Linked DNA regions of Arabidopsis thaliana. The protein of the gene in region 1 interacts with the protein of each later gene in a pairwise test. Each region holds a gene or a part of one and is shown in the gene's direction. Other genes may lie near its edges.

Evidence for each region.
Region 2: the proteins of AT1G21790 (region 1) and POR C interact in a two-hybrid assay, tested with the Arabidopsis thaliana proteins (one large-scale study listed by BioGRID).
Region 3: the proteins of AT1G21790 (region 1) and AT4G33905 interact in a two-hybrid assay, tested with the Arabidopsis thaliana proteins (one large-scale study listed by BioGRID).
Region 4: the proteins of AT1G21790 (region 1) and NAC001 interact in a two-hybrid assay, tested with the Arabidopsis thaliana proteins (one large-scale study listed by BioGRID).

Annotation. Positions count from the first base shown.
Region 1 is NC_003070.9:7,650,999-7,658,739, forward strand, and holds AT1G21790 (TRAM, LAG1 and CLN8 (TLC) lipid-sensing domain containing protein), read left to right. Parts: upstream 1-3,089; 5' UTR 3,090-3,358; coding exon 3,359-3,617; intron 3,618-3,894; coding exon 3,895-4,172; intron 4,173-4,363; coding exon 4,364-4,693; 3' UTR 4,694-4,983; downstream 4,984-7,741. Other genes in the region: FBP7 (F-box protein 7), read left to right, coding at 1-24, 256-466, 556-615; AT1G21770 (Acyl-CoA N-acyltransferases (NAT) superfamily protein), read right to left, coding at 845-928, 1,000-1,251; AT1G21780 (BTB/POZ domain-containing protein), read left to right, coding at 1,478-1,590, 1,670-1,815, 2,056-2,171, 2,263-2,868; AT1G21810 (filament-like protein (DUF869)), read right to left, coding at 5,580-5,966, 6,053-7,458, 7,543-7,639.
Region 2 is NC_003070.9:903,279-911,301, forward strand, and holds POR C (protochlorophyllide oxidoreductase C), read left to right. Parts: upstream 1-4,244; 5' UTR 4,245-4,420; coding exon 4,421-4,477; intron 4,478-4,570; coding exon 4,571-4,669; intron 4,670-4,754; coding exon 4,755-5,292; intron 5,293-5,376; coding exon 5,377-5,732; intron 5,733-5,811; coding exon 5,812-5,967; 3' UTR 5,968-6,372; downstream 6,373-8,023. Other genes in the region: AT1G03620 (ELMO/CED-12 family protein), read right to left, coding at 1,041-1,142, 1,243-1,337, 1,450-1,497, 1,603-1,726, 1,841-1,895, 1,990-2,105, 2,219-2,287, 2,389-2,506 and 2 more; AT1G03650 (Acyl-CoA N-acyltransferases (NAT) superfamily protein), read right to left, coding at 6,971-7,203, 7,582-7,825.
Region 3 is NC_003075.7:16,250,867-16,258,832, reverse strand, and holds AT4G33905 (Peroxisomal membrane 22 kDa (Mpv17/PMP22) family protein), read left to right. Parts: upstream 1-3,072; 5' UTR 3,073-3,240; coding exon 3,241-3,582; intron 3,583-3,908; coding exon 3,909-4,137; intron 4,138-4,402; coding exon 4,403-4,527; intron 4,528-4,678; coding exon 4,679-4,768; 3' UTR 4,769-5,081; downstream 5,082-7,966. Other genes in the region: AT4G33910 (2-oxoglutarate (2OG) and Fe(II)-dependent oxygenase superfamily protein), read left to right, coding at 219-332, 433-555, 786-943, 1,026-1,128, 1,264-1,359, 1,429-1,494, 1,581-1,700, 1,804-1,890; AT4G33900 (Galactose oxidase/kelch repeat superfamily protein), read left to right, coding at 6,122-7,261; AT4G33890 (transcriptional regulator of RNA polII, SAGA, subunit), read right to left, coding at 7,748-7,966.
Region 4 is NC_003070.9:412-8,597, forward strand, and holds NAC001 (NAC domain containing protein 1), read left to right. Parts: upstream 1-3,219; 5' UTR 3,220-3,348; coding exon 3,349-3,502; intron 3,503-3,584; coding exon 3,585-3,865; intron 3,866-4,074; coding exon 4,075-4,194; intron 4,195-4,294; coding exon 4,295-4,684; intron 4,685-4,762; coding exon 4,763-4,915; intron 4,916-5,027; coding exon 5,028-5,219; 3' UTR 5,220-5,488; downstream 5,489-8,186. Other genes in the region: ARV1 family protein, read right to left, coding at 6,504-6,658, 6,746-6,821, 6,973-7,039, 7,153-7,238, 7,351-7,424, 7,531-7,576, 7,825-7,914, 8,006-8,053 and 1 more.

The DNA of each region.
Region 1 (7,741 bases):
TACTGTCTTAAGGATTCGTTTAAGGTACTTCAATCCCTCAAAATATGTGGATAGAGAAGACTTCTTTTTAGTAATAGCATTTAGAACCTTGGTCTGGCATTGGGAAGAAGGCCTGTTACTTATCTTTTAAAGTACCGTGTCTAGTACATTCATCTAAGACTTATCTGATCCGGTGAATGTGATGGGGTTGAAATTTTTAGTAGCTGATAGTCATTTTGATCTTCTTGGTGTGGATATGTTTTCGGGTGTGGTTAGGTTAAGAGGAACAGCTATTGGAGCGAATAACAGGATGGATTTGCTGTCACTTGTGACAAGTGGTGTGAACGATGAGGAAATAAGCAGCACAGAAGAAGACATTCTTGGGTTAGTTGAAGGTTGGGAAGACGATGAAACTCACAACCCGGATATACCTGCCGTCTCACACAAGAGGGGTATGACTGCATTCGTCTTCGTTCCTTTCGAAGAGGTAAGTAAACTATAAATTATTGTATACTCTTCCCACCTATAATCTTAGTTACATTGATTTGATCTGAATATCTTCCTTGATGTTATTAGGTTGACGAATCGGTTCTGAACTTGCCACCGGAGAAAATGGATTACTATGTCACTGGCTAAAGAGACACATCGAAGTTTCTGTACAAAAATGTATCATAGAATAATGTTTTCACGTTATATTTATTGTTACGACAAACATTAGTGTTTGTTTGTTGCTGTCGAATTGTGAAAAACATACATTTTGGGATTTTTGTTTGTTTACAGAGATTACTTGAAACAAGCTTTACTATTGTAAGATAATGTTTTCAAGTTTTTATTATACACCAAAAGGCTTTAAAGCAGGACTTGATCAGATGCTAGACTTGAGGTTCTTGGAATCATCCTCTGAGTGAACCAGACGCTGCCACGTTGGGTTTCGATGAAGAAACGTTTCCTGCAAAACACGACATATTTTCATAAGAATCTGATTCATCTCAATTTTTTGAGGAAAGAAGAGATGTATACGGAAACGTAGGAGCAAGTGGGGATGATGGAGAAAGAGTGTTCAGAGGCGTGTTCGAAAGCGGCGACGCATAGATGCGAAGCTAAACCAAGTCCTGCTTTTGACGGCGGTACGAAGGTTCGAACCAGATCCATGACTTTACCGTCATTCTTCATCTTGTACTCTATGAAGGCTTCGTGATCATCAGTCTCGAATCTATGTCTTCCTTCGTTCCACACGATCTTCGGTTTCTCCGTCGCCGTCCCCGTCGCCATTTTATCTGTTATCTCTCTAAGTCTAAGTCCACTCTCTTTCATTTCAAACCGAGAATTGATTTTAATATATCGTTAGTAAACCGGTTTAATGGATAAAAACGTATAATCGTCGTACACGTGGCAGGCGATGGAGGCGGCAGAGTGTTTTGCTTGCTTCGTCGTGTTATTTGGCGTGAAGTAAAGAGTTCAGAGAGAAAAGGAAGTCAAAACTTCAGAGAGAAAGTGGATGGGGGACACGAAGGTAGAGACAATCTCGAGGTTAGCTCAATGGAGAATTGAAAATTTTGGTCCTTGTTCTTTCAAAAAGTCCGATCCTTTCAAAGTCGGAATTTGGAATTGGTAAGCTTTTCATTTTTGGTTTATTTTGGTAAATTTTCTTCGGAATTTTGATTTTTGTTTGTTTTGGGATATGATGAAGGCATCTGTCTATAGAGAGGAATCGCTATCTATCAGTGAGGCTATTCCCAGAACTTTCTCGAGTATCTAAAGAGCAACCTCCTGTTGCCAAATTTGTTCTTCGTGTCTCCAACGTTGGCCCCAATCGTAGATTCTACATCTCTCCTGGTATGTCTTGTCTTTGAATTGACTTTTCTGGATTTGGAATTTGAATTCTATTGTCGAGCTCGAATTAGGTATTTCAGGAAAGGGAATTACCTTTTATGTGGGAACTATATTCAATTATGTGGAATCTGAAAGATATTAATTTAGATGTTAATGATTGGCTGATGATTAGTAGTACCTTATGGGATGGTTACAACTGAATTAGGTTTGTTTAAGCTGAGATACTCTGTTTATTTGGTGCAGTTTATGAGAAGCTGCTGCGTACAACTGATGATTGTGTGTGGCATGTTGACTCCAGTTTCCACGGTCGATTCACCATTGATGTTGAGTTTCTTGATCTCAAAATCTGCCCTGTGAATGTAAGCTTAATGATTCTATTTATACTCTCACAATTTCTTCTCTTTGTAACATTTGTACTTCCATGGTTGATCAAATCAAATCATAATCCAGGGTGGTGAAGCTTCTCCTGTTTGGCCAACCGATGCAACAATGCAATCAATCTCTACTCAAACCACTCTCAAATGCTTATCCCGGATGCTAGAGGAAAGCATACTAACCGATGTAATCATCCACACAGCCGATGGAACACTCTCTGCTCACAAAGCTATCCTCTCAGCTAGCTCAACTGTTTTCAAAAGCATGTTCCACCACGACCTCATGGAAAAGGAATCATCCACAATCCACATAGACGACATGTCGAGAGAATCTTGCATGGCTCTACTAAGTTACCTCTACGGAAACATAACCCAAGAAGAGTTCTGGAAACACAGGCTCGCCCTCCTCGGCGCTGCAAACAAGTACGACATAACGGATTTGAAAGCAGCCTGCGAGGAGAGCCTAATGGAAGATATAAACTCGAGTAATGTGCTCGAGAGGCTACAAGAAGCTTGGCTTTATCAGCTGGAGAAACTGAAGAAAGGGTGTTTGATGTATTTGTTTGATTTCGGAAAGATTTATGATGTCAGAGAAGAAATCAGCAGTTTCTTCAGGCAAGCTGATCGAGAACTGATGCTGGAGATGTTTCAAGAGGTTTTGTCTGTGTGGAAACCGGTCTAATATACACTTACACACATACTTTGAACATTTCAGCTTGATGGTGTTTTGTTTATAGTCTTCTTGTTCTCTTCTGTGTGTGTAACTAACAACAACTCTGGATTTTGTTGTATCACTCTGTCTAATGTATAGTATTGAGTGGATTTGCCTCTAGTTTGGTGTACCGAGCCTCTCAAATGGGCCGAGCCTTTCAAATGGGCTGTGACTAGGCCTAATGACTGTCGACATCGAATGTCGGCACAAAATATGATAATTTTGTCGATGTTGAAATCGTACGTTTTTTGTTTTAATTAGATGAGTCAGCATCAGGAGGATGAAGTATCGACCGACACGTGTCCGTTGCGTCCCAAAGTAAAGCTTATAACGTGAAGGCATTTGTATCGTCTCTTCCGCCAAAATTGGAAATGGATATCGAAGTTTGAGCTAAGAATCCAATTTAGGGTTAACTTTGCCGGATTCTCAAGCAATCTCCGAGAGAGACAGTGAGGTTTCGATGGCGAGGAACGGGATTGGGAGTTCAGGAGGGAAGAAGAATGGGGCTGGGCAGTTTTTCTTAGCGACGCTGCTTCTTTGGCTTGTCTCCGTCGTGTTTGAGATTGCTTTCAATCTCCGGACGGAGCTTCTCTGGGTGATTTGCGGTGGATGCTTCTTTCAATTGATGAATTGGGTTGTTCGTTCATGGATTTCTCGTGACCCTATATTTGTTAATACCTCTGTCTCGCTTTTGCACTCAATCATCACCTCCGCATCAGGTCCCTTTCTCTCTTCTCTTATATTTGAGTTCTTACTATAGGATTGTGCTCTGTTAGTGGGGAAATTTTATCATAGGTGTGCACATTGGTCGTTGGTATTAGTCAATTTTCCTTTGGTGCTGTGTTTTCACGGTTTCATTGCTTAATGTGATTCTTATTTCCGATTGGATTAGTCTTATGATTGATTGCCATAGCTTGAGTATAATGCAGTTCTTTCTTCGTTAAGCCTTACTGATTATGATTTTTCATCTTCAACACTGCTCTTGTGTTACTACAGTGGTTTTCATACTTCTCAATCAATGCTTAGCCAAAGGTTTAGACGAGATGTTTGATCATTCTGAGTTGGTTGGTGGGACTTGGAAATGGGCATATCCAGCTTTGTGTTTCTCATGCGGCTACTTTGCATATGACCAGTGGGATATGCTTCAGTACCGGTTATACAGCGGCTTAATACCTTCTATTCTTGTTCACCATCTAGTCCTCCTTGTTTGCTTCACATTGGCACTATACCGAAATGTAACCATCAACTACCTTATTCTTACTCTCATCTGTGAGGTACGTTCCACTTTTTTCTTCCTGAAAACTTGCCCTGGCTTTTCTCTGTTCTTTACCGAATCTATGCTAACATTCTCTAGTTAAACTAGACTAGTTTCATATATAACAATCTAGTTAGATATAGACTCAACTCTACAACATCTACTTGTTCGAACAAAAGTGACACCTCTGTTATTCGGATGTGTAAACAGATGCATTCGATCTTTCTACACGTGAGGAAGCTAAGGAGAATGGCAGGAATCCGAGACAGCAACACAGCATTGGTGAAACTGGAGTGGGTATTAAACTGGACAGCCTTTGTGTTTGCGAGATGCATTCCTCACATTCTCATCACTATCAAGCTGATCAAAGACGCACACAAGTTTGGGAAAGGCGTGGAGTTACCACTCGCTCTGTCTGGTATGGCAGGAATGAACATTCTTAATGTTGGCCTCGGGTTGGATCTGTTTCATGCTTTCAGAAGAGAGAGAAGCCACAGAAGAAACCAAGAGAACGGCAACCTTCACGACCATGGAGAATAATAGCTAATTTAGAGGCAATCCATTACCGAATCTATGGTTTGTTGTTGTATGAATACTACCCACTCATCTCTTGTTTATATCTGAGGCTTTGCTACTAAGTTCTAATAGCTTTCAGATTTGTATGTATCTCTCTATAGGAAAACTACATGTAAATGTTATTTCTTGATGATTACAGTCAACAGACTTTTTTTCTTCTTGTGTTTGGGGAAACGGAACCAAATTAGAATTTTGGTTTGATCTTTGGTTGTGATTTATATATCATAATCATTATATAAAAGTTAATCTTAATGAACTTTGGTTTATTCAGTTAAATTTTGGTATAATCTTTTCAATCTATTAGGAAAGTTTGTTTAGTGTTGAGTTGATGAAGTTTGGTCCGGTTCAGTTTCCACCAATGTTTGGAAGAAAAAAAAATGCAAGAGCATGAGAGGTCCTACCGGGAGTCGAACCCAGGTCGCTGGATTCAAAGTCCAGAGTGCTAACCACTACACCATAGAACCTCAGGTGCTTGTTCTGTTGCATGTACCAGTTTAGAATCTAATCCAAAATATTGTATTTTAGACACGACCAATGAATAGATTCAACATCAGCAGTTCAGCAGCACCACAGATTGCAGTTTTCTTTGTCTTTATCTAACCAAACAAAACAAAAATCAATATTTTACTTGGTGACAATGCATCATATGAGACCATCAAACTGGTGACAGTGAAATAACAAAGATGAATCTCACAAGACATAAACGTTAAGAAGATTACACTATGTAGCAAAAGAAACAAGGGTGATCTTTTTGCTACTAACAAGTCAGAATCTGAAAATTATGGTAAGAAATCCAGCTTAACAACAGATTGATTCTAGCTATACTCCAAGAACGAACCTATTGCTTCTCCTAAATCCCCAAATTTACTGAGTTTCTACTTCGAGTGAAAACCGTGGCAAATCCGTTGCGATTCTTCTCAGAACTCCCTCGGTTTGATGACATAATTAATGACACTGTTGTTGAGTCCGAAGAAGATGAACAAGGAGGTGAGGTCTTGTTATTGCTGTTCTGGATTGCAAGAAACTCAAGTGATCTTCCATTGATTGTTTTGATGCACTCATGAGGATCTTTTCCTAACAAAGCTTCCTTGTTGTGAACTGACCTTGCAGAACCTGGAATGCTAGCTGTATCGATCAAGAATTCTTCTAGTGTTGCAAGAGATTGTAGCTGTTTCCCAAGTGATGCTATTGTTTTCTGACAATCTGCAAATTTTCCTGCAGCTGTTGCTATGTCTTCCTGCAATAGAATCAGCTTTTAGTGAAACAAGGATTAAGAAAAAGAAAAAAAGACTAATTGGTGATCAGAAAAATAAAAAGCTATACCTGTTTGATCTTTGGTTCCACTTTTTCTCTCTTGATCATTGTCTTCTCTTCTATCTCTCTTCTAAGCTCTTCTTCAAATGTCTCACACTTTTCCTTTAGCCCATCAGAGACAATCCTCTCCTTTCTCACCTCTGCTTCCATTCTGGTCACCCGAGATTCGGCTTGTGTTTTCGATTCATTAGCTAGTTTAAGCTCCCTTTTCATCGCTTCCAACTTCATCTCAACTTCTTGAAAACAAACTCTAGATTCTTGATATTGATCTTTAATTACGTCAAAAGATATCTTTAGCTCAGCTTTCTCAGCTTCCATCTTCTCCAACTCATCTTCCATCTCAATTTTGTCACCAACTACAGCTTCGAGTTCTAAGCTGAATCTCTTCTCTGCTTCTTTACAACAAATAACTTCACTGTCAAGCTCATCCTTTTCTGCTTGTAGCTTCTCCAACTTTGTGTCAACTTCTTGAAAACAAACTCTTGACTCTTGATATTTATCTTTGAGCACGTCAAAAGATGTCTTTAGCTCAGCTTTCTCAGCTTCCACCCTCTTTAACATATCTTCCAACTCCATTTTGTCACCAACAACTGCTTCAATCTCTAAGCTCAATCTCTTTTCCGCTTCTCTACAACATTTAACTTCTCTTTCAAGATCATCCTTTTCTGCTTGTATCTTCTCCAACTTCTCCATTAAGCTCAATTCATATCCATCCTTGGAGTTTTTAGCCTGTGTCTCAGTAGGAAGAGCCACAAGACGTTCCATCTCAAGGAAATCATCCATGAGATCAATTTCAGTTGATGAAGTAGTGCCCTGAAGACTTCTATTGCCGCCTTTTTCATTCTTGATTTGATCTAACTCAGAAATAAATGCTGATGATGCCCATGAATCAGAGCAACTCCCCTCAACTCTCTCCCTTCCTCCATCTGAATGACTATCCACAGATTGATTAGATGATAGCGATGATGATGTTTTAGCCAAAATCCTAAGCTTCCTGCACTCAGCTTCGAGTTTCGCCAACTTCTTTATGATGTCTAAATGCTGCTTACTAGCAGTTTCTGCTGCTTGAGTGCTCAAGTCCCTCTCAATCATCACAATCTCAAGGTCTTCACGCTGTGTAAGAAACTCGCGTCTCAGCATCATGTTTTCAGATTTAGCAGCTTCTGCTTCTTTCTGGAGCTCAAGAACTCGCTTCTCTAGACCAGTGTTAGCAGAATGCAACTCCTTGGTGCTCTCAGTCACAGCTGCTTGAATATTCTTCTCTTGTTCATCTCTAAACTGCCTTAGTTGTCTCACACACTCCTTAAGCGCCCCATCAAGATGACTTACCCTATCTTCCAAGACAATGTTCTTATCAGCCGCATCCTCGAGCTTTTGCTTCAGCTCAACCACTTCATTCTCAGCTTTCTCCCACCCTTGAAAAAAAACCACAAGAGAAAATGCTTTCACTATAAAATGCTAACTCCAGAAGCAGGATCAGAAAAGGAGTGACTAATTACCAGCAACAGCATCTTCTGCAACTTTGGCATGTTGTTTCACTAGCTCATCTTTGGAATCCATAACTGGTTCCAATATCAAAGTAGTACCAGTCATCATCAAATCACAAACTTAAGTACCTTAAGAAGAGAAAAATAAAACAAAACCAAACAATTTTTTAGGAACTTTTGAAAACATATGTATAAAAAAAAAGAGGTAACT
Region 2 (8,023 bases), 6.7 Mb from region 1:
TAAATTTAATAATATTAATGTTTAGTTAAGATATCGGATATTTAAGTTGTACTCATACAAGGAAATTTATTTATCCCTTATAAATTACGCAAGTTGATATGAATAAAGTTGGGATCTTTTATGACAAAAATGTCAAATATATGAGAGTACAAAATAAATGATTTGGAAGTTTGACTTTTATACACTTTCATGTTTTGTTTGGTTTCTCCACCAAATTGTATAGAGAGATACCAAACTTTTTTTAGTTACTTACAGAAAACAGAACACTGCCTAGATAATTAGAAAAAAGAAAGTATAGAGAGTTTTGGATTGATAAGGCTTCATCACACTATTTTTTCGAAATGACTTGCAAAAAAAAAAAAAAAATAACTCGAAGAAAAAAGAGTAATTCGAATTGAATAGGAATCATGGAAATGTGGTGGTAAGGCATCTTATCCTTGACGTTAGGTTTCAAAAGTGATGATCCCTTTAGTTTCGTTGATAATGGATAAGATCAAAATATCCATTTTTACGACCTCCAAAGCACACGTAAGAAGAACCTTATCTTTTATTTTTATTTAAGTTTTATACAAAAAAGGTCAAAAAATCAGACCGAATTTTATCAAAATAAATAACGGTCAGGATGAGCAAATGACTGCCGACAAGGACAATCGAAGTAATTAGTTTGGTCTGAAGATCTTTTATCAGAATTAATCTATATTATGTCATATAAAATCAACCAACCATAAACCACTCACTTAGCATATTAAAAGAACCGACAAAATATTTCATAATTCATATAATACGAGGGAGACAAGAGAGTTGATTTTTCAAAGTACAAAAGTCACAAAGTCCACTACCAGTTCATAATTTCCACACCATCATCATCATGTTACCAAACAGTGATGCATCATATAGAACATACGTTCATTATCATTCATTTTCTATTTATGTGTTTTGGCTTCATTGATTATCATTTTCATTTCGGTCATAAATTCAGGTTAATGTACAAAACATAAAAATCGAAATCAAACTAAGAAAATAACAAAAGAAAAAAAAATCTATTGGAACAAGAGATTGTAGGCAGGAAGATCTTGAATCCGATGAATATCATCCAAAGAAAGCTCTCTCTCCAGCTGATTCCGAGTTGCTTGTAATACTTCCTGATAAACACACACAGATATATACAATTATTAAGAACTAATTCTCAAAAAAAAAAAAAAATGAAAAGAGAAAGTTGATAGATTGAGTGAGAAGAGATACATTGAATTCCATGTAAGAAGCGTGCATTGCAAGCCATTGAGCATCCATCATCGCGAAAGCTATACAGTATAGTACATCGAATGCCCTCTCGTCTTCTGTTAATCATTGGAATATGATTCTTGATTATTTAGCGATCGTCATACTACACTACTAACTTTTAGAAAGAAGGTTTTATTCAGTTTAAAAGAACATATTCCTATTGTTTACCTTCTAAGAGTTTGAGGAAATTCATTCCTGGAAGACATTTTGGCTTTGCTGCACAAAAAACAAAACATGAATTTAAAGCCTTTTAGAATCGAAATCGTATGTGAAAATAACAAGTATGACCTGAATAAAATGGTGACAGTTTAAGAAACTTACGATTATTTTGTAAATCGAGCATTTGGATCAACATGAAGGAGATGTTGATTCCGGCCACTGCAAAAGGGTACTCCCACTTTGCCCGGTCGCCTCTTTGTTTTAACAATAGCCTCCGGAAACAAACCTTCACAATTTTTATTTGTATAAACACATTATTTTGTGGAGCAAAGAAGTTCCCAAACCATGATTATTAAAAAAAGTTTAAGTATATATGAACATGTATTTACGAGTAATTTACCGGATAAGTTCTTGCAGAAAATAGTAAATTTTCTAGAGCGATAAATCCGCAACCCCTACAAAACAAATGTTTAACAAAACAGGCGTCAACACTAAGTATTTTTCCTTAAGATCTTTTTTGCAATAAGTTAAGTATAGATCAAATCTTACCTGAAATCGGTAGATGGATTGGGACCTTGCCATCCCATTTCTTTCCATTGTTCTGTTACTAAACCCGTGAGATGAACATTCGGAAACGCGACGTTCCACAATGCTTTAAGTGATTCCTGCCATTAATCACGCAAATATATTTCACAGAATTCTTATAGCTAAAACAATATATCTGCATGTTGTTTGCTCACTGCGTTAAACATCTTACTGATAAAGTGAATTCACCTACCTGATGATCAGGACGTGTCTCGTCGAAAGGTACAACCATACGATCTTGCAGCCTTTGAAGTCTTTCCTCCTATGTATGATTGATTTACACAGATCCAAAAGTGTTACAAACTATTTATAATGTCTTGATTTCATTTTATGAAGATATATGAAACTTGTGATTATGCTAACCTGAAGAGGAGACAAAGTGTAGTCGACTGCCTTGTCTTGACGTCTATTGGAGCGTGTGAAGAGCCCTCCTATCCATGATCTTGTTCCAACCATACCCGTAGCTGTAACCACTGGTTCACTAATAGAAAATTATATTCATATATGAGATAATAGATCTAAATTATGTATCTAATAAACTAATCACATGCATATTTCTATGGTGTGTCATTTATACCCTATGATATATCTAGCAATATATACTCACTAAAACAAATATTTAGCCAAATGAGCTATTACGTGAGCGGAACTACTTGACCGCTGCCATCGCGGCTCTTTGTTGCCTTTTTCTCGCCTTTCCCACGCTTCATCCTCCTCTACCTGCAAACGTTTTCAGACATATGTTTGCGTATAACATTAGCTGCAGAACATAAAAAAAAAAAAAGATCAACTCTGAAGATCAGAAAGTTTGAGTGAGCTTAATTCACTTACAAGTTACAACCAAAACGACACTCAATTACGGTACATTGAAGATTAAAGAAACGGGTGGAATACACAAGAACAATGTATATGCAAGATTGCAGTGGTGTCGTTGATTACTCTCAATTTGATGATAAGATTCAAATTTGATATGAGTTTGGAGAAGAAGAAGATGACGAAGAGATCATTACTTGGCGATGAGACGAACAAGCAGGAAAGTATTGCCTACGCTTCCTGAACTTCATGAGATGGACACAAATGTTCAAAGAATAGAAGATAACTAATATTGATATCTTTTAAACTAAGAGAACAAAGATGTCAAAACCGACATAAATGCATGGAAAGAAAGAATTTAGGTATAATAATCCTACATCCAAGTTATCTAGTCATCAAAACAGAGATTAGTTAATGATTTTGCAAAAGCTAAGACTTCTCTGTAGAGAATTGGACAGAAAGAAAGAGGAGGAAGATTTTTATACAGAGCTAAGTTGATCACAGATAAGTTTTAGTGTTTTATTTGGTTGCGTACAGGTCAGAGCTTATTAATTTTTAAAAATAGAAAAAGCATTGCGTGACTATTTTAACACGTTTAACTAAACTAGACAGAATTGTGGGTTGTTCTGTATAAATTTTGTATTTGTATTTTTATTTACTCCTTTGAGTTAATTTAGAGAATGACAAGAAGATGATAGAATCAAAATGACTAAATATAAATGAGCTAAAGTTCTAATTCGATTTCTAAATATTCAAAAGTTCCATCATCATTTCCATTTTCACTTAGTCAAATTTTGGTATAATTGGGCTCAAAAAGGTTTCTCTAAAAGTTGTAGCTAACATAATAGCGCAATTAAAGGATGTTTTCTTTTCATAACTTTTATGTAAAGTTTAAAACTTTACAATGAAATTACCCTTGAAAATATAATTAGCAAACAATGATGATCAAATCAAATTTCACAAGCAAAAATCGTTATGATTGATTAAAAAGATGAGGGGGGAAAAAGTTACCTGTTATAGGCATATGAACAAGACAATGGAGGAGGAGGAGGAGATGGTCTAGAAACCGTGACGACGGAGGAGGAAAAGAAAAGAGATGAAGTAGAAGAAGAAAATAAAATAAAATAGAGGCAAAAATGGAAATTTTCATTGGAATTTTGCAACTTTTAGAAATTGTAGAAGATGAAGAGAGCTGTGTGATCCAAAAGTGTTTTTTTTTCTCTCTCTTTTTTCGTTTTTGTTTTCTTTCTCCCACCTCTCCATTGACCGTTAAGTTGCCGCCTTCTTCTCTCTTCCACCAAATTGTTCTTGACACATTTGGACGGTCCAGATTCATTACAGTTCACCTATCAACGGTGATCAGATCAGTTGAGAGTTAACAAAACAATATTAAAGCCCATCTCAAGGCCCAATAAACGAGAGATGAAGAATCTGAAACTAGTGATCTGATTGGTTGAGGGAAAAAGCTGTAGCCTGGAAGACACGTGTCACTAACCCAAAACTACCTTATCTTCTGTCGCTCCTCAATTCGGGGAAAATCGAAGACACTGTGACACTCTAGCACCTTCAGTTCCGTACAACAATGGCTCTCCAAGCTGCCTATTCTCTTCTTCCTTCTACCATTTCAATCCAAAAAGAGGTATGTTTTCACCATTAGTAATGATTTCCATCTTGTTATGATTTGTTTTCGATAAAATGAAGAATTTACCTCAATGCAATGGTGATTTTGCAGGGCAAATTCAATGCTTCTCTAAAGGAGACGACTTTTACTGGTTCTTCATTTTCAAACCATCTTAGAGCTGAAAAGATATCCACCCTGTTGACCATCAAGGTAAAGTCAATCACCCTATACGATGTGAAATTCTCAAAAAAAGATATCGAAAACGTCCTGAGGTTTATACTCTGTTTCGTTGCAGGAACAGAGAAGACAGAAACCGCGATTTTCCACCGGTATTCGTGCACAGACAGTTACAGCCACGCCGCCGGCAAACGAAGCATCGCCGGAGCAAAAGAAGACTGAGAGAAAAGGCACTGCAGTGATCACTGGAGCTTCGTCTGGTTTAGGTTTAGCTACGGCCAAAGCTTTAGCAGACACAGGGAAATGGCATGTGATCATGGCTTGCAGGAACTTTCTCAAGGCCGAGAAGGCAGCGAGATCTGTTGGAATGTCCAAGGAAGATTACACAGTGATGCATCTTGATCTTGCTTCGCTTGAAAGCGTGAAGCAATTCGTTGAAAATTTCCGGAGAACAGAACAACCACTCGATGTTCTTGTCTGCAATGCCGCGGTTTACCAACCAACTGCTAAAGAGCCTTCTTTTACAGCTGAAGGCTTTGAGATAAGCGTTGGAACCAACCATCTCGGTCACTTTCTTCTCTCAAGATTGCTTCTTGATGACCTGAAAAAATCTGATTATCCATCAAAACGTATGATCATCGTAGGATCTATAACAGGTAAATAACACAGACAACTTGTCCATTTCCACCAAGATAGTTCCTAGTATCAAACAATGAATGTTCTTTTCTATGTTCTTGCAGGAAACACAAATACTTTGGCTGGGAATGTACCGCCAAAGGCAAACCTTGGAGACCTAAGAGGCTTAGCGTCAGGATTGAATGGGCAAAACAGTTCAATGATAGATGGAGGAGAGTTTGATGGAGCAAAGGCTTACAAAGACAGCAAAGTATGCAATATGCTGACAATGCAGGAGCTTCACAGACGTTACCACGAGGAAACAGGAGTCACGTTTGCTTCTCTTTACCCTGGTTGCATCGCTACAACAGGGTTGTTCAGAGAACACATACCGCTGTTTCGGCTTCTTTTTCCGCCTTTTCAAAAGTATATCACCAAAGGTTACGTATCTGAAGAGGAAGCTGGCAAAAGACTAGCACAGGTCAGTTTGCATTGCAAATCCTTTCTAATATATGTATAACAGATTATTGATTGATACTGAGGATGTGGTTTTGTTTTAGGTTGTGAGTGACCCTAGTCTTGGGAAGTCAGGAGTGTATTGGAGTTGGAACAATAACTCGTCTTCGTTTGAGAATCAGCTTTCTAAAGAAGCAAGTGATGCGGAGAAGGCAAAGAAACTGTGGGAGGTTAGCGAGAAGCTTGTTGGTTTGGCATGAACTCAAGATTTTTGATATGCAAATTCATATAGATTACTATGTTTTGTGACATGTACAATAAGTATGATCAATCAGACTAATCATTCGAATGCATTTCAATAGAGTTAATCATCGAATTCGAATCTGAAGACACTTACAATTAGACTGATGATTCGTAGATTGCTCCATAGTTGAGATGGGGACATGAATCGTTACTGTTGTTGAGACACGACCAACGAACTGCATCGTAATCCCGAGTAAAATTTAACCGATAAGAGTCTTCGGTCTTAGAGAATCTAACATCTTTCTTCTCTCTTCGAGAATTACCCGATGATCGGAATTACAAAACGGTTAACACCGGCGAGAATTGGTGGGATATCATGTCGTGGATCTTTTCTAGTGTGCCTTTTCTCTAACACGTCGTCGTTTTGCCTCATTCTTTAACAGATGTCGTTTAAAATTAATTTAAAGTACAAAAGAATGCGGTTTGGTGGATTATGTCGTGGATCTTTTCATAATGGGCCTTTCTTACGACCTAATTTTTTAACACGATGTCGTTTAAATCGATTAAAAGGTTTTAGAAAAATGCGGTGAGCGTGGATCGAACACGCGACCTTCAGATCTTCAGTCTGACGCTCTCCCAACTGAGCTATCCCCGCTTGGGATTATTTGATAAAATATTACATTATAATACTTACAAAAACGTTTCAAAACACTATCAAATGCCATTTCTCATTTTGGTCGACCATCGATGATAAGATTAAAAATCTTCTATTATGAAATCTTACACCACTTCCTAACATGAAAACGATTAAAAATCTCATTCTATATTGTGAAGAAGTTGATAAGTTGATGGTCCCAAGATGATTTCATCTTGCATCGTAAAATATCAAAAACTCGCTAGACATATGTAATATGTTGATGTAGAGAAGTAATCAATGAATGTGTACAAGGCATATCAAGCCCAAGCCAAGATATGGGAATACATATATAACCCCAAATCCAATGATTCAATCCTTTTGGGCTAAATAGAGTCATCAAAATCTAGGTACATTCTGTAAGCATCTCTATCAGCCGAGTAGTAGCTTTTCACTAGACAGTCTACTTGGAACCCAAGCTTTTTGTACAGATTCACCGCAGAAGTTCTCGTGGGGTCGACATGAAGTGAAACCCGTTGCACCTTTCTGCTTCTGCACTTGTCGATAGCCGCTCTCAACAATGCTTCTCCATGACCTTGTCTTCTGCAATTCTCCTTCACTACATGATTCCAAAACAACAGAAGAAAGTAAACTTGGGATACATTCTTCCTAATGTTTTTGCTCTTAACTTGCCTAATAAGAAAAATTCCATACGTGTTCTTGACTTATGAGCTATCTCCATTAATCTTTAAGCATGCAAAACCAAAGCTAGAACAAGGGCTTTGTCTAGTCAGAATTTCTATTGAAAGCTCTCGAATTTACCAGAATCATTGGTCCTTGACTATATAATAATCTACAGGTTAATTTATCAAATGGTTGAAAGATTTTTCAGTAGAAGTTTGGCAGAATAATTCCACTTCTTCTCTAACGAAATTATATTTTCTGAATTTTATCACTGAGTAATTTCATCGAACAGTTGGCGGACGTTTGTCTATACCTGCGAGCTTGGTGATTGAAGCGGAAAGCGAAGATGGCCAAGAATACATGGCATAGCCTACTGTGTCTCCTTCAGCATCCACGTATAGCAAACCGGCGTTTTTCTTACGCAGCTCTGCATCGAAAGTTTGAGCGAGAGATTCGTGTTTAGGGAACGTTTTCTTCTCCAGCTTCACGATATCTTCCACAACTTTGGCCCAACTGGTCGACCCTCTAATCAGCTCTACCACAACTCCTTTGTCCATTGTACAAAAGATTCGATTTTGTGGAATCTCTCGTTGGTTTCGCAGCCGGTGAGAGCGAGTGAGCCAAGGAAATTGTGATTTGATTTTGATGAAGGTGCGTAGCGACGGCGGGGACGACTTTTAGAAACTATTTGAAATTGTGATTTGACCCACAAATTTAACTTTTGTGACAATTTAGTCCCCAGAAACAGAGGAACT
Region 3 (7,966 bases), on another chromosome or scaffold:
AAAATGACAAACTGGTCAACGAGATCTGATCATTAAACTATAAAACAATATATTTTAAAGTAAATAGAAATTTGTGGTGCTTCATTGGATCGACGAAAGGCGTCCCGATATTGAGGTTCGTTACGCCGGCGAAGATTTTCATCGGAAACTTATCTGATCGTTTACGCCGGCGAAGATTTCCATCGGAAACTTAATCTGATCGGAAGGAAGAAGGCTCGATGAAGAGCAGATTGAAGAGCTACAGGAGGAAGAAGCTAGGGTTAGCCACAGTTATCGTCTTCTGTTCTCTCTGTTTCCTCTTCGGTTTCTATGGCTCCACTCTACTTTCTCAGGTGTGGAAACTCTCTGATCTTTTACTCTGTACTCTTTAGATGTGATTGGAGTCTTTAGCTTGGTTTTGTGACTAATCGAGGGTTCTATGTTTGGGATCAGAATGTGCCTCGTGTTAAACCCAGGTTGAGAATGTTGGATATGGTTGAGAATGGGGAAGAAGAAGCTAGCTCGATGCCTCATGGTGTTACTGGAGAAGAATCTATTGGATCGATTCCTTTTCAGGTCTGATTTTGTTGCTAATTTTTTGACTTTTAAGATGTTTGGATTGGCAAATTAGGTGAAATCGATTAGTTAGGGCAAGATTGTGCATTTGATTATCTAATTGAACTTTGTTTTTTTGTTCATGTGTGGTGACCATGAGTGTGAGTGAGAGTATTGTGTTTTTTAGCAATTAGTCAACTAGTGAAATTTAGTACTTCATCTTTATGGATTATTTGGTTTAAAATTGGCAGGTACTTAGTTGGAGACCTAGGGCTATATATTTTCCGAATTTTGCAACTGCAGAACAATGCCAAGCTATTATTGAGAGAGCAAAGGTTAATCTGAAACCTTCTGCTTTGGCTCTCCGGAAAGGAGAAACTGCTGAGAACACTAAGGGCACTAGAACAAGGTCTTTCTTTCTTTCTAGTTTCATGTTTCGAACATTCATCAGTAGCCTCAGTGTTTTTGCCTGGTGTGTTGTTGTTATACAGCTCAGGAACTTTTATCAGTGCTTCAGAAGAGAGTACTGGTGCTCTGGATTTTGTTGAAAGGAAAATCGCAAGAGCTACGATGATCCCAAGGTCCCATGGAGAGGTATGATTCTCTACTTCCCAAATCTATGTGAATCGTAAAACTAAGGCATGTTGAAAGTGGCAAACGTAGGCTTGATGGCCTTTGGTTTAGTGCTTATCACCCCTTTAATTGTACGAGATTTGATGTTTTTGGCAGTCATTCAATATTTTACGGTATGAACTTGGCCAAAAGTATGATTCCCACTATGATGTTTTCAACCCAACAGAATATGGACCACAATCAAGCCAAAGGGTAAAATCCTTAAATCTGTCATATTTATAGCTTTCTTTAGAACCCGAGACCTCATTTGAATTTACGCAGATTGCCTCCTTCCTGTTGTACTTATCTGATGTTGAAGAAGGCGGTGAAACCATGTTCCCATTTGAGGTCAGTTTATAATATATTATTTGCTTACTTATTATACAGACCCTTTCGTTAGTTTTGATTCCATTTAAACGCTTTCTATTTAACAGAACGGTTCTAATATGGGCATCGGATACGATTACAAGCAATGTATTGGGTTGAAAGTAAAGCCTCGGAAAGGAGATGGTCTTCTTTTTTATTCCGTGTTTCCAAATGGAACGATTGATCAGGTAAACAAAGTTTGAACACATTTCATTTCTTCTCTTGACTCCTATTCCTTGGATTAGTTCATGCTAATAGGAGCTCTTTGCTGTGGTTCCAATGCTTCTGCAGACTTCGCTTCACGGGAGCTGCCCGGTGACCAAAGGAGAGAAATGGGTGGCAACCAAATGGATCAGAGACCAAGACCAGGAAGAATAAGTTAGGTTTTTTTCCATATATCTATCTCAGTCTCACAGCTTCTATCTTTTGACTAAAAATCTGCTGCTGGATCCCTCGTGTACAGTTCTTCGCTGAAACAGTGTAACTATTTAGCTTTCTTATAATGCGAATGATACAAAAATTAAAACCTGATAATGAAAACTTGGTTCGAAATATCATTTGAACAATAGAAGTTTCTTGTTGTTTGATATTTCAGTAAAAGAAATATAAGAACTTATAAGATTAACACAGAAGTGATGACAAGTGTGGATCGATTTGGGTGTTCTGATTACTTGGTATTGAGTATTTACTGCTCGTTTGAGTCCGTCAAGTCTCTTGTTAATTTGCAATGTGTACTAATTTTTTCCCTTATAACTTAACAAAATGTGTTGTATGATTGTATTTGTATCTATTAAATGGAAAATTATTTTGTCCATGTTATATATATAAAAAATGTATCTGAGCTTACACACCAGGGACCATCTTTTTATTCGAGTTTTTGTGGACACATGAGTCATGAGTGATACCGATAATAATTTTTGTTTTTTTTTGTGTGTGTGACATCATCTACGTTTAGTTTGGTTTAGAATCTTCGAAAAATTGCCGACAGAAAATAAGAGAATCTTCTCTTCCAATGATCTACGTTCTTTTTGACTAAATATATAAAAATAAAAGAGTTCATAAAAAGTGGCTAAAAGTCGGAACTTGGGACACGAACGCAACACGTGGCTTCTACTAAAGGTTAGCGTCACTGAATTAAGTTTTACGTGTCAGAAGTGATGACGTCGACACTAACCAATGTGAACAGGACGTGTAAACAACCCTAGAACACTACAGAACAGAAACAGTTTGGGGATGTTTGGTTTTTGAACCGTCCACCTTTGACGGTCACGCGCTCTTCAGCCTTCAGGCACTCTTTCCTCCGCCTAACATAGAAATTGGAAAGGTTATTTTCTCCAATAATTTGGCTTGGCTTTTGAGTTTATTGAGTGATTAGCTAATAATAAATAATAATCAATTTGTTGGCTTATATATAATCAATGTGCTAAGTAACACTATAGCTTTCACAAAAACTTCGGTTATTAGGAAAGATCTCGACAATTCTGTATCTAGAAAAGGCATGATTAATTAATTTATTAAGAACAAAACTAATTTATGAAGAACGATTGCAATGGTACGAGACGCGAGTAGAAAAACCTTTATACTCGCGAAATATACAAATTGTGTGTTTCATTATTTATTGGCATTTAAACTTTTTAAAAAAACAGAGCTCTGTTTCTTCTTCTCCACCGCCGTTATATATAAAACCCTTCCCTGAACCCCCAAAACTCTCGGAGCCATCACACGACAATGACCGGCGCATTGTTTAGAAACGCTGCTTCCGACGCCGCTCGGATCTTTCGATTACAGCGAGCAACGATGACGAATCCTTTTGGAAAGCTCGACCCTTTACCGATAGGAGGAAACATCCAGCGATTGCAGTCGAGGCCTTTTTATCGTACGCCTCAGTTTCTCGGGAAAGCAAAGGAAACAGGTGTCTCTGGTTTCTGTTCGTCTTCGTCTTCGTCTTCTTCGACGGTCTCTACAGCAGGATTCATCGGATGGTATTTGGGAATGGTGAAATCTCGGCCGGTTCTTACCAAATCCGTCACGTCCTCGCTTATTTACATAGCAGCCGATTTGTCTTCGCAGGTAATTTCAAAAATCTATCTCATTTTTGTTTTGTAAGCCTACAAATCAGATTTTAGATATTCTGTGATTATGTTCTTGTTGATTCAGTCCTAAGATTCCATTGTGTTTTCTAACAAATGGTAATAGTAGAAGTCACTGTATCTCCATTGTGCTTTAGAGATTTGAGATAGGACAAGAATTACTTCTAGATTAAGAAGTAATGATCGATTCTTAGTAATGTGGATGTAGTAGCGGGTTTTATGTGAATTGAGTTGTTATATTTGCTTACGTTTCTTTGTTCTTGTATTGTTGTTGACAAAAGTGTGACTTGTTTGATCTTTCAACAGACAATTCCACAAGCTTCAGTGGATTCTTATGACTTGGTAAGAACAGCAAGGATGGGAGGATATGGGTTATTAATCTTGGGTCCTACACTTCACTATTGGTTCAATCTCATGTCAAGTCTCTTCCCAAAACGAGATTTGATCACAACGTTTAAGAAAATGGCCATGGGACAGACAGTCTATGGGCCTGCCATGAATGTTGTTTTCTTCTCACTGAATGCAGCCCTACAGGGTAAGCTTTCAGCTGTACATGAAAAATAATCAACTGGTTCCTTTCTTATAGTCTATATATTCTTCTTTGAGCAACATATAAAAGTATGATTTTTCTGAAACTCTAGATCCTGTTGACCTTCAATCTTAAGGGTTGTTATAGAGCAGGTTGTTTGATGTTACATTCTTTCTCTAAATGGCGTTTGAAGAGAGGAGAATTGTTGTTAGAATTTGATCCTAAGCTATTCTTGATGACATCAAAGTCTGATTTTCAATTATTTTTTCAGGTGAAAATGGTTCAGAGATAGTTGCTAGATTGAAAAGGGACCTACTTCCCACAATGCTTAATGGTGTCATGTATTGGCCTTTGTGTGATTTTATTACTTTCAAGTTCTGCCCTGTTTATTTACAGGTATGTATGATTGATACCTACCACTTTATTTCCAACTTAGCTTCACTTTGGTTAACCTTTTGTTCAAGACAGATCATATATTTGCTGCATTCATTTTGTCTTATCGTGAGTTTTGGTTATCAACTGAAGTCTGGTTTCTTTTTGTCTGCAGCCACTTGTGAGCAACTCGTTTTCGTATCTATGGACAATCTACATAACTTATATGGCAAGCCGTGCGACGCCAACCGCCATTGAAATTTGAAAAAGCTCTCTGGGAAACTCTCTCAGTTTAGAAATGAAGAAATGAAGCCAAAAAACACTTTTACTAAAAGAAACAGGGCATTCTTCAACATTCTTTGTTTCCTCTCTCCAGATTTTAGGAGGATATAATGTAAGGAGTTTTGGGGAAAACTGTGCATTTGGACATGTCTTACACTCTTAGATTTAATTCAATTCTATGTTTAGTATTCCATGTAATATTTGAGTAAAATGGTGGTTCTTTAGCTTCGATCAACTTTTTGAGTCTTTACCAGGCAAAGGAAACTGTTGACACAAGTCTTTTATATTAATCCTTAGTTACATCAGTACGGTTAACAAAGACGGAAAATTTACACGAGACCAACGGAGTCAAACCAAATGCTATGTATGCTAAAATATGGTTTTTGTTCTCAATCTTATACGCGTCCCAGATTGGTAGGGTAGCAGGTAGCAGTGCGACAGCTTGTAACAAAAAAAATTGATATGCCAAATGTATTGTTTTCTCATAACAGTAAGTAAAATTTTAGAAATTTAGGGTCCTTTCTTGTACGTAGGTCCGCATATATATCTGTACCAGAAGAAAGAGCACACAAAGAACAAAACAAAACAATTTAGTAAAAAGGAATGATAAAAAAAAAAAGTAAATTCTTCTAGTTCTTTTTTTGAATATCAGTAAATTCTTCAAGTGAAGAGAATATACGTTTTGTTATAGAAAATTAGAAACTTACTATACTTCCAAACACGTTGAAAAACTCCCAATGAGATTAGGAATCTATATATAAACAATATAGACAAGAATAGTCGAGACAAAAAGAAGCTTATGCAAAAAACAATTTCTTACTTTTTTTTGTTTTGTTAAAAAAAGCAAGTTCTTACTTAATAAGCAACTGATGCAGCGCATCTTTGCTTTGTTCACGCCTTTGATGGGCCTCGTCGTGACCAAGCCTCTTTATTGTTTCTCATTCATGATTTAGTAGTTTATGGACTTTATTAAAGATGTGGGCTTTACGTGTTTGGCTTTTAACTTCTTTTTAGAATTAGGGTCTTTGTTTCTGATTCTTATTTAAAGAATCCTTACGTTGTAGAATAGATTAGTTTTGGATTATTGAATAAAGAGTTTTAAGAGAGCTTTCTATAAAGCCTAGAGAGGAGGACTCTCAACCCTAAGGGCTTGCAAAACCAAGTCGATATCACTACCGATCTCGACTTTATCTCTATTGCTTCTTCATCAAGTTTTGACGTTCTAAGCAAGATCCGTTTGTAAATCCGAGTTCTCCTAGAGATCTTGTGTTCTCGTCCGATATTTAGCTTCCGCTCTCTATCAACAACCGTAAGAGAAAAAAAGTGATCAACAACCATGGAATATGGAGAAGAACCCTCGATTAAAAGATTTCTAATGCTTCCTGATGATTTGGTATTTAACTGCTTAGCTCGCGTCTCAAGATTACATTATCCAACTCTCTCATTAGTCTCCAAAAAATTTCGCTTTCTTCTTGCTTCAAAGGAGCTTTACCAAACCCGAATCCTCTTAGGCGGAACGGAGAGTTGTCTTTACGTGTGCGTACGACTCCATACCGATTCTGAACAACTACATTGGTTCATTATCTACCAGGGACCAAATAGCTCCAAAAAAGTTTTGGTCCCGATTTCATCTCCCAATTTTACTTCCGCAGCCCTGCCGGGTTTTGTAGTGGTCGGTCATGAGATATATGCCATTGGCGGTGGATCAGAGAATAAAAACGCTTCGATAAATGCAACTGGATCAAAGACTTATAACGCTTTGTCTAGCGTTATGGTTATGGACTCTCGTTCTCACACATGGCGTGAAGCTCCAAGCATGCGGGTGGCCCGTGTGTTTCCATCTGCTTGTACCCTCGATGGGAGAATATATGTTACGGGAGGCTGCGAAAATCTCAATTCAATGAATTGGATGGAGATTTTTGATACGAAGACTCAAACTTGGGAGTTTTTACAGATCCCTAGCGAGGAGGTATGCAAAGGCTCTGAGTACTTAAGCATAAGTTATCAAAGAACCGTCTATGTAGGGTCTAGGGAAAAAGATGTCACTTACAAGATGCATAAAGGTAAATGGAGAGGGGCAGACATATGCCTGAATCATGGATGGAGTCTGGATCCATCATCTTGTTGTGTGATAGAGAACGTGTTCTACCGTTGCAGTCTTGGGGATGTACGTTGGTATGACCTCAAGAAAAGAGAATGGGCAGCTTTGAAGGGTTTGGAAGGACTGCCTACTTTTACTAATTATTATAGAAATTTTAAATCGGCGGATCATTGTGGAAAATTGGCGATTTCTTGGGAGGAGTATGTGTTAGTTGATGACGAAACAAAGATTTGGTGTGCGGAAATTGCGATTCAAAAACGCCAAAATGGAGAAATTTGGGGAACGCTTGAGTGGTTTGACAATGTGTTTATATCCAGTGGACCAAACCGTCATGTGGATTTATTAGTGAATGCTCTTACTGCAACAGTTTGGTGAATTGAATCAATCACCCATGCATTTTTTTAAATAAGTTGATCGTTTGTCTTCGAGGCATTTGGACATGTCTCATAGTATGATTATGTCTTGCGCTTTTTGTTTTAAGCTTTTTACTTCAGTTTGGGTTTTAACATTCCAATGTAATATTTAGTGACTTTGACCAGACAAATGAAATATTCACACGAATCTTTTCAAGAAGCCTTTTTTGCTTTCATTATTAACTTTGTTTACATCAGAGAGCAAACAAGGAAAAATACACATGAGAGAAAAACAAATCAGCTAAACAAAATGTCGTTTACTTCAAAAAAAACTCTTACTTAAATCTCACTCTATTATCTGAACTTGTACAACATCAAGAAGACCCACCCTTCTTCTCTTCAAAACCTTCTTCCATTGAAACTTGGACCATCCCAGTAACTTTTTTCAACAGCGCAAACCAAACCAGAAAACTCAAATGCTATGTATCTAACCTATGATGTTTGTTCTTTACTTATCTGAAGCACGGGAGCAGATCTTCTCCATATGCATAGGCCAATCTTCTCCAAGTATCTCAGTATTCAACTCCATACCAGCACGAAAATCTGACATCGATACATATGAAAGCCTTCTGCTTTGCTGTGTATACTGGTAATTCATCTCTCTAACCCGATCAGTCCCACATCGAGTATTAGCCAAACTCAAACAAGGCTCAATCAGCCTTCTCAT
Region 4 (8,186 bases), 7.7 Mb from region 1:
GTCATTCTTACTCCTTTGTGGAAATGTTTGTTCTATCAATTTATCTTTTGTGGGAAAATTATTTAGTTGTAGGGATGAAGTCTTTCTTCGTTGTTGTTACGCTTGTCATCTCATCTCTCAATGATATGGGATGGTCCTTTAGCATTTATTCTGAAGTTCTTCTGCTTGATGATTTTATCCTTAGCCAAAAGGATTGGTGGTTTGAAGACACATCATATCAAAAAAGCTATCGCCTCGACGATGCTCTATTTCTATCCTTGTAGCACACATTTTGGCACTCAAAAAAGTATTTTTAGATGTTTGTTTTGCTTCTTTGAAGTAGTTTCTCTTTGCAAAATTCCTCTTTTTTTAGAGTGATTTGGATGATTCAAGACTTCTCGGTACTGCAAAGTTCTTCCGCCTGATTAATTATCCATTTTACCTTTGTCGTAGATATTAGGTAATCTGTAAGTCAACTCATATACAACTCATAATTTAAAATAAAATTATGATCGACACACGTTTACACATAAAATCTGTAAATCAACTCATATACCCGTTATTCCCACAATCATATGCTTTCTAAAAGCAAAAGTATATGTCAACAATTGGTTATAAATTATTAGAAGTTTTCCACTTATGACTTAAGAACTTGTGAAGCAGAAAGTGGCAACACCCCCCACCTCCCCCCCCCCCCCCCACCCCCCAAATTGAGAAGTCAATTTTATATAATTTAATCAAATAAATAAGTTTATGGTTAAGAGTTTTTTACTCTCTTTATTTTTCTTTTTCTTTTTGAGACATACTGAAAAAAGTTGTAATTATTAATGATAGTTCTGTGATTCCTCCATGAATCACATCTGCTTGATTTTTCTTTCATAAATTTATAAGTAATACATTCTTATAAAATGGTCAGAGAAACACCAAAGATCCCGAGATTTCTTCTCACTTACTTTTTTTCTATCTATCTAGATTATATAAATGAGATGTTGAATTAGAGGAACCTTTGATTCAATGATCATAGAAAAATTAGGTAAAGAGTCAGTGTCGTTATGTTATGGAAGATGTGAATGAAGTTTGACTTCTCATTGTATATGAGTAAAATCTTTTCTTACAAGGGAAGTCCCCAATTGGTCAACATGTGAAAGCACGTGTCATGTTCTTACTTTTGTTTGGGTAATCTTCTAATTACTGTATATGGAAGATGTGAATGAAGTTTTGGTCCTGAATGTGGCCAAGGTTCCGTCATTTGGAGATACGAAATCAAATCTCCTTTAAGATTTTGTTTTTATAATGTGTTCTTCCATCCACATCTATCTCCATATGATATGGACCATATCATACATCATCATTTGTCCAAATGCATGAATGAATTTGGAAATAGGTACGAGAATGCCAACAATGACAAGAAGGGATCAAAGACAGTTTTTAAAACAATATTTTACAGGGTTTTAATCTAATTCTAAGTTTTGGTCACTCACTTTGTTAAAAGAATAATTCAGTGTCTGGACACTAAAATCTTCCAAAAACCCCATATACATATATGCTATTTCGATACTTATATTTATTTACTCAGCATAAAAAATATTAACCATGTATTCATAGTAAAATGTTTCATGTGATATCAAACCAGCGACAACAAAAGTATTATTCCCCTCATTATGTTTGACTCCTATTATATTTTTATTTTAATTTTTTTCACTATCATCTTTCTTGCAATGAAAGTCCCATATATTGGTCAACATTTCAAACCACTTGTTCTCTTTTATGTTTTGGTAAGAGCTATCTTCTAAATTTATAATACGCATAAATTCAAAAGTAAAAGAAAATTTTGGTCATGAATGTTGTTTAAGTCATTTGGAGATACGAAATCAAATCTCCTTGTAGATTTTGTTTTTAGAATGTCGTTCCTTTTTCATCATCTTAGCTATATCTACAGCTATATATCCTATCTTTAAACCTATATTATTTTTTCCTCTCTTCACCAAAGCCATGTTTTTTAGTTGTGGCGAAAAATAAGAAATCCATACATCAACATATCGCTTTCGTTACCTTAAATTTTGGCTTGTTATGAAGGCATGTCATAACGTTTCTAGTCACAACTCACAAGCATACCAACGACCATGATAAATCCAAAAAGTAGAAACAATCTATTATCTAAACCCCCAAAAGACAAAAGAAAAAAGTAGAAAGAAAAGGTAGGCAGAGATATAATGCTGGTTTTATTTGTTTGTTAAAAGATATTGCTATTTCTGCCAATATTAAAACTTCACTTAGGAAGACTTGAACCTACCACACGTTAGTGACTAATGAGAGCCACTAGATAATTGCATGCATCCCACACTAGTACTAATTTTCTAGGGATATTAGAGTTTTCTAATCACCTACTTCCTACTATGTGTATGTTATCTACTGGCGTGGATGCTTTTAAAGATGTTACGTTATTATTTTGTTCGGTTTGGAAAACGGCTCAATCGTTATGAGTTCGTAAGACACATACATTGTTCCATGATAAAATGCAACCCCACGAACCATTTGCGACAAGCAAAACAACATGGTCAAAATTAAAAGCTAACAATTAGCCAGCGATTCAAAAAGTCAACCTTCTAGATGGATTTAACAACATATCGATAGGATTCAAGATTAAAAATAAGCACACTCTTATTAATGTTAAAAAACGAATGAGATGAAAATATTTGGCGTGTTCACACACATAATCTAGAAGACAGATTCGAGTTGCTCTCCTTTGTTTTGCTTTGGGAGGGACCCATTATTACCGCCCAGCAGCTTCCCAGCCTTCCTTTATAAGGCTTAATTTATATTTATTTAAATTTTATATGTTCTTCTATTATAATACTAAAAGGGGAATACAAATTTCTACAGAGGATGATATTCAATCCACGGTTCACCCAAACCGATTTTATAAAATTTATTATTAAATCTTTTTTAATTGTTAAATTGGTTTAAATCTGAACTCTGTTTACTTACATTGATTAAAATTCTAAACCATCATAAGTAAAAAATAATATGATTAAGACTAATAAATCTTAATAGTTAATACTACTCGGTTTACTACATGAAATTTCATACCATCAATTGTTTTAATAATCTTTAAAATTGTTAGGACCGGTAAAACCATACCAATTAAACCGGAGATCCATATTAATTTAATTAAGAAAATAAAAATAAAAGGAATAAATTGTCTTATTTAAACGCTGACTTCACTGTCTTCCTCCCTCCAAATTATTAGATATACCAAACCAGAGAAAACAAATACATAATCGGAGAAATACAGATTACAGAGAGCGAGAGAGATCGACGGCGAAGCTCTTTACCCGGAAACCATTGAAATCGGACGGTTTAGTGAAAATGGAGGATCAAGTTGGGTTTGGGTTCCGTCCGAACGACGAGGAGCTCGTTGGTCACTATCTCCGTAACAAAATCGAAGGAAACACTAGCCGCGACGTTGAAGTAGCCATCAGCGAGGTCAACATCTGTAGCTACGATCCTTGGAACTTGCGCTGTAAGTTCCGAATTTTCTGAATTTCATTTGCAAGTAATCGATTTAGGTTTTTGATTTTAGGGTTTTTTTTTGTTTTGAACAGTCCAGTCAAAGTACAAATCGAGAGATGCTATGTGGTACTTCTTCTCTCGTAGAGAAAACAACAAAGGGAATCGACAGAGCAGGACAACGGTTTCTGGTAAATGGAAGCTTACCGGAGAATCTGTTGAGGTCAAGGACCAGTGGGGATTTTGTAGTGAGGGCTTTCGTGGTAAGATTGGTCATAAAAGGGTTTTGGTGTTCCTCGATGGAAGATACCCTGACAAAACCAAATCTGATTGGGTTATCCACGAGTTCCACTACGACCTCTTACCAGAACATCAGGTTTTCTTCTATTCATATATATATATATATATATATGTGGATATATATATATGTGGTTTCTGCTGATTCATAGTTAGAATTTGAGTTATGCAAATTAGAAACTATGTAATGTAACTCTATTTAGGTTCAGCAGCTATTTTAGGCTTAGCTTACTCTCACCAATGTTTTATACTGATGAACTTATGTGCTTACCTCCGGAAATTTTACAGAGGACATATGTCATCTGCAGACTTGAGTACAAGGGTGATGATGCGGACATTCTATCTGCTTATGCAATAGATCCCACTCCCGCTTTTGTCCCCAATATGACTAGTAGTGCAGGTTCTGTGGTGAGTCTTTCTCCATATACACTTAGCTTTGAGTAGGCAGATCAAAAAAGAGCTTGTGTCTACTGATTTGATGTTTTCCTAAACTGTTGATTCGTTTCAGGTCAACCAATCACGTCAACGAAATTCAGGATCTTACAACACTTACTCTGAGTATGATTCAGCAAATCATGGCCAGCAGTTTAATGAAAACTCTAACATTATGCAGCAGCAACCACTTCAAGGATCATTCAACCCTCTCCTTGAGTATGATTTTGCAAATCACGGCGGTCAGTGGCTGAGTGACTATATCGACCTGCAACAGCAAGTTCCTTACTTGGCACCTTATGAAAATGAGTCGGAGATGATTTGGAAGCATGTGATTGAAGAAAATTTTGAGTTTTTGGTAGATGAAAGGACATCTATGCAACAGCATTACAGTGATCACCGGCCCAAAAAACCTGTGTCTGGGGTTTTGCCTGATGATAGCAGTGATACTGAAACTGGATCAATGGTAAGCTTTTTTTACTCATATATAATCACAACCTATATCGCTTCTATATCTCACACGCTGAATTTTGGCTTTTAACAGATTTTCGAAGACACTTCGAGCTCCACTGATAGTGTTGGTAGTTCAGATGAACCGGGCCATACTCGTATAGATGATATTCCATCATTGAACATTATTGAGCCTTTGCACAATTATAAGGCACAAGAGCAACCAAAGCAGCAGAGCAAAGAAAAGGTTTAACACTCTCACTGAGAAACATGACTTTGATACGAAATCTGAATCAACATTTCATCAAAAAGATTTAGTCAAATGACCTCTAAATTATGAGCTATGGGTCTGCTTTCAGGTGATAAGTTCGCAGAAAAGCGAATGCGAGTGGAAAATGGCTGAAGACTCGATCAAGATACCTCCATCCACCAACACGGTGAAGCAGAGCTGGATTGTTTTGGAGAATGCACAGTGGAACTATCTCAAGAACATGATCATTGGTGTCTTGTTGTTCATCTCCGTCATTAGTTGGATCATTCTTGTTGGTTAAGAGGTCAAATCGGATTCTTGCTCAAAATTTGTATTTCTTAGAATGTGTGTTTTTTTTTGTTTTTTTTTCTTTGCTCTGTTTTCTCGCTCCGGAAAAGTTTGAAGTTATATTTTATTAGTATGTAAAGAAGAGAAAAAGGGGGAAAGAAGAGAGAAGAAAAATGCAGAAAATCATATATATGAATTGGAAAAAAGTATATGTAATAATAATTAGTGCATCGTTTTGTGGTGTAGTTTATATAAATAAAGTGATATATAGTCTTGTATAAGAAAGGGATTTTACATGAGACCCAAATATGAGTAAAGGGTGTTGGCTCAAAGATTCATTTAGCAACCAAAGTTGCATTTGCAAGGAAATGAAAAGGTGTTAACAATGTCACTGCGTAACATGACTTCGATACAAAATCTCAAACAATACATCTTCAACTGTGGATTATGATGGACTTGGGGTTGCAGGTGATATGTCTATAGAAAAACGGGTGGGAATGGAAAATGGCTGAAGAAGAAAGCTCCAACTAAGCATCATAACTGGATTGTTTTAGAGGAGATGAGTCAAAGGAATTCACAGTGGAACTATCTCAAGAACATGATCATTGGCTTCTTATTGTTCATCTCCATCATTGGCTGGATCATTCTGGTTCAAGAGGTCAAATTATATATACATAACGGATCTAAGAAGTATAGTGTAGTCAATTAAAACAAAACGAGACTTGAAAATAAGCATAAGTATTATTAAGTTAACCCAATATTCGTTTCAATGCTTTAGTTATCATCAGAATTCTCAACATTTTCAGATATTTAACTTGCCTTTGGTTGCTTTCTCGCCATGGTAGTAGCATTCTCCGGATAAGAATCAAGGGGAGCCTCAACTTCGGCTTCAACCGTCTCCTCGTCTTTCCTATGACATTCACTTGGTGTTGCAACAATGTGTTGATGCCCCACATTCATAGGAGAGTCCCACATATCTCCAACATTCATAGGAGGGTTCCACATATGCCCACCATTCCAAGGAGGGTACCACCACATATGCCCAGCATTCCAAGAAAGATGGAGCGACGATATCGTGAGGAACAAGGTTTTTGTAGGGCAAATAATTGTAGGTGGTTGAGTTATATCCGCCCGCACAGAGTAACAGACCAACAATTAACTTTTGATATTTTAGTAAGGTCTAATTCAATTTTTGGTGGCGATAATATTTGGCTTAGTCATAAAATACAGTATGGTATAATAATGTAAAGGTTTCTCTTATCTTCAAACCAAAAGACTATACTGGAAGCTGATGGGATCATACGATTCTGAAAAAATAAGACATATATTGCAACAGAGATCCAATTTGTATCAAAAATATTGTCGGCTCAAAAATCTGACCCACCAAGAATCTAATCAAGTGCGCGATTAAGCATACGGCTATGCATCTGGTCATTGTTGATTCAGTCATCACTGGTTTAAAGACAAACTTGCATTGTGAGATTCCAAAATAACAACAACAAAAAACAATTTGCATTGAGAACATTTTGAAGGTCTGACCTTTAAGAGCCATGGAGTTTGATGTTAAGAGAAGTATATCGACAAAAAAAATCACTGACATTGGGAATTCCCATACCTGTAATAACAAAGATTCTCTATTTTTGAGCAAAGAGACATAACACCATGTTTAATCAATACAAGAAACTTTAGTGCATGATTTATGGAATGCTTAAGAAGTTTGGAACTTCAATATTAGGAATTAAGTGAGAGGTAAAGCTACAACATACCAACATCGCAAGCAGAAATATCTTGAAGTAACTAGAGATGAATATCCCCAACATAATCTCTCTTCTTCTGCAAAGTTTTTAAAAAAAATTATACATAAACAATCTTCAGGTGACAGAAGTCTGAGATCTTTGATGAAAAACTCATAATAAGAACTAAGAAGAAGAAGAATCAGTAATCACCTGGAAACTTCATTTAGCAAACCCTTAGTCGCAATGGCAAAAGAGATGATAAATGCAGCGTTTGCAGATAAGACACCAATCAGAACCTGTTTCAAATGCGAAATTATTACCCTTTCTAAACAATCTCAATGACTTAAATCATTTAAACCTTAAAGGAAAAAAAATCTAATTAAGTCCATTAAAAAGAAACGATCTAACCTTTATAGATAGAAGAACAGGGCTATCAGAAAAGCTCGATTCTTCATCACTTTTTCTCAGTAGCAAGCTTCTATCTATGATGAGTTCAGGGCTTTTCAAATAAGTTTGCCGATGAATCTCACCAACTACACATCTGCTAGCTACACTTTGATAGTAAAAGATTATAAAACAAAAGGATACAACAGTCTAGAAGAAGATAGGCGAAGACCAACTTCCACAACAGATGCTGCACACACACACACAAAAAAAAAAAAAGAACCCAACAATTCTTATTGGATCAGAGACTACTCAATATCCCCAAACTTGGAAATTAGTTTGTTGCTTGAGGTCTAAGATACTTCTATATATGGAAAAAGATTTTCAAAGCCAGATATTTCCACAAGTTTGTAATATCAATTCAAGATAAGAGAGCTAGAATCAGACAGGAACTAGCAATGCTTGAAATCAAGAACTTGAATTGAAATAGTTTTTTACCTGAATATTGACAGTTGCTGGATTAATTGCATTGTAGAGGACGTGTCTATATACCTTTGGTCTGTGAAGGATTAAATCGATGAAAATAATCTGCCAAAGAAAACAATTAAAGAACCAAAAACCAAAATTGGAAAGAAATAGGGAAACACCCAAAAAGGGAAAGAAAGTGATTAAAACAGACCATGCGTTCACACTCGATGTACTCATCTGCTACTTCCTTGCAATTTCCCTAAATATAACAATATGATCAAAGATGGAAACTTTGAAGAAATTTAATAGAGAATCTTATAAACCCTAATTGGGTCAAAGAAGATCCATTAATACAAAAATCTTACGCATTTCATGAGACGAATGTTACCCGG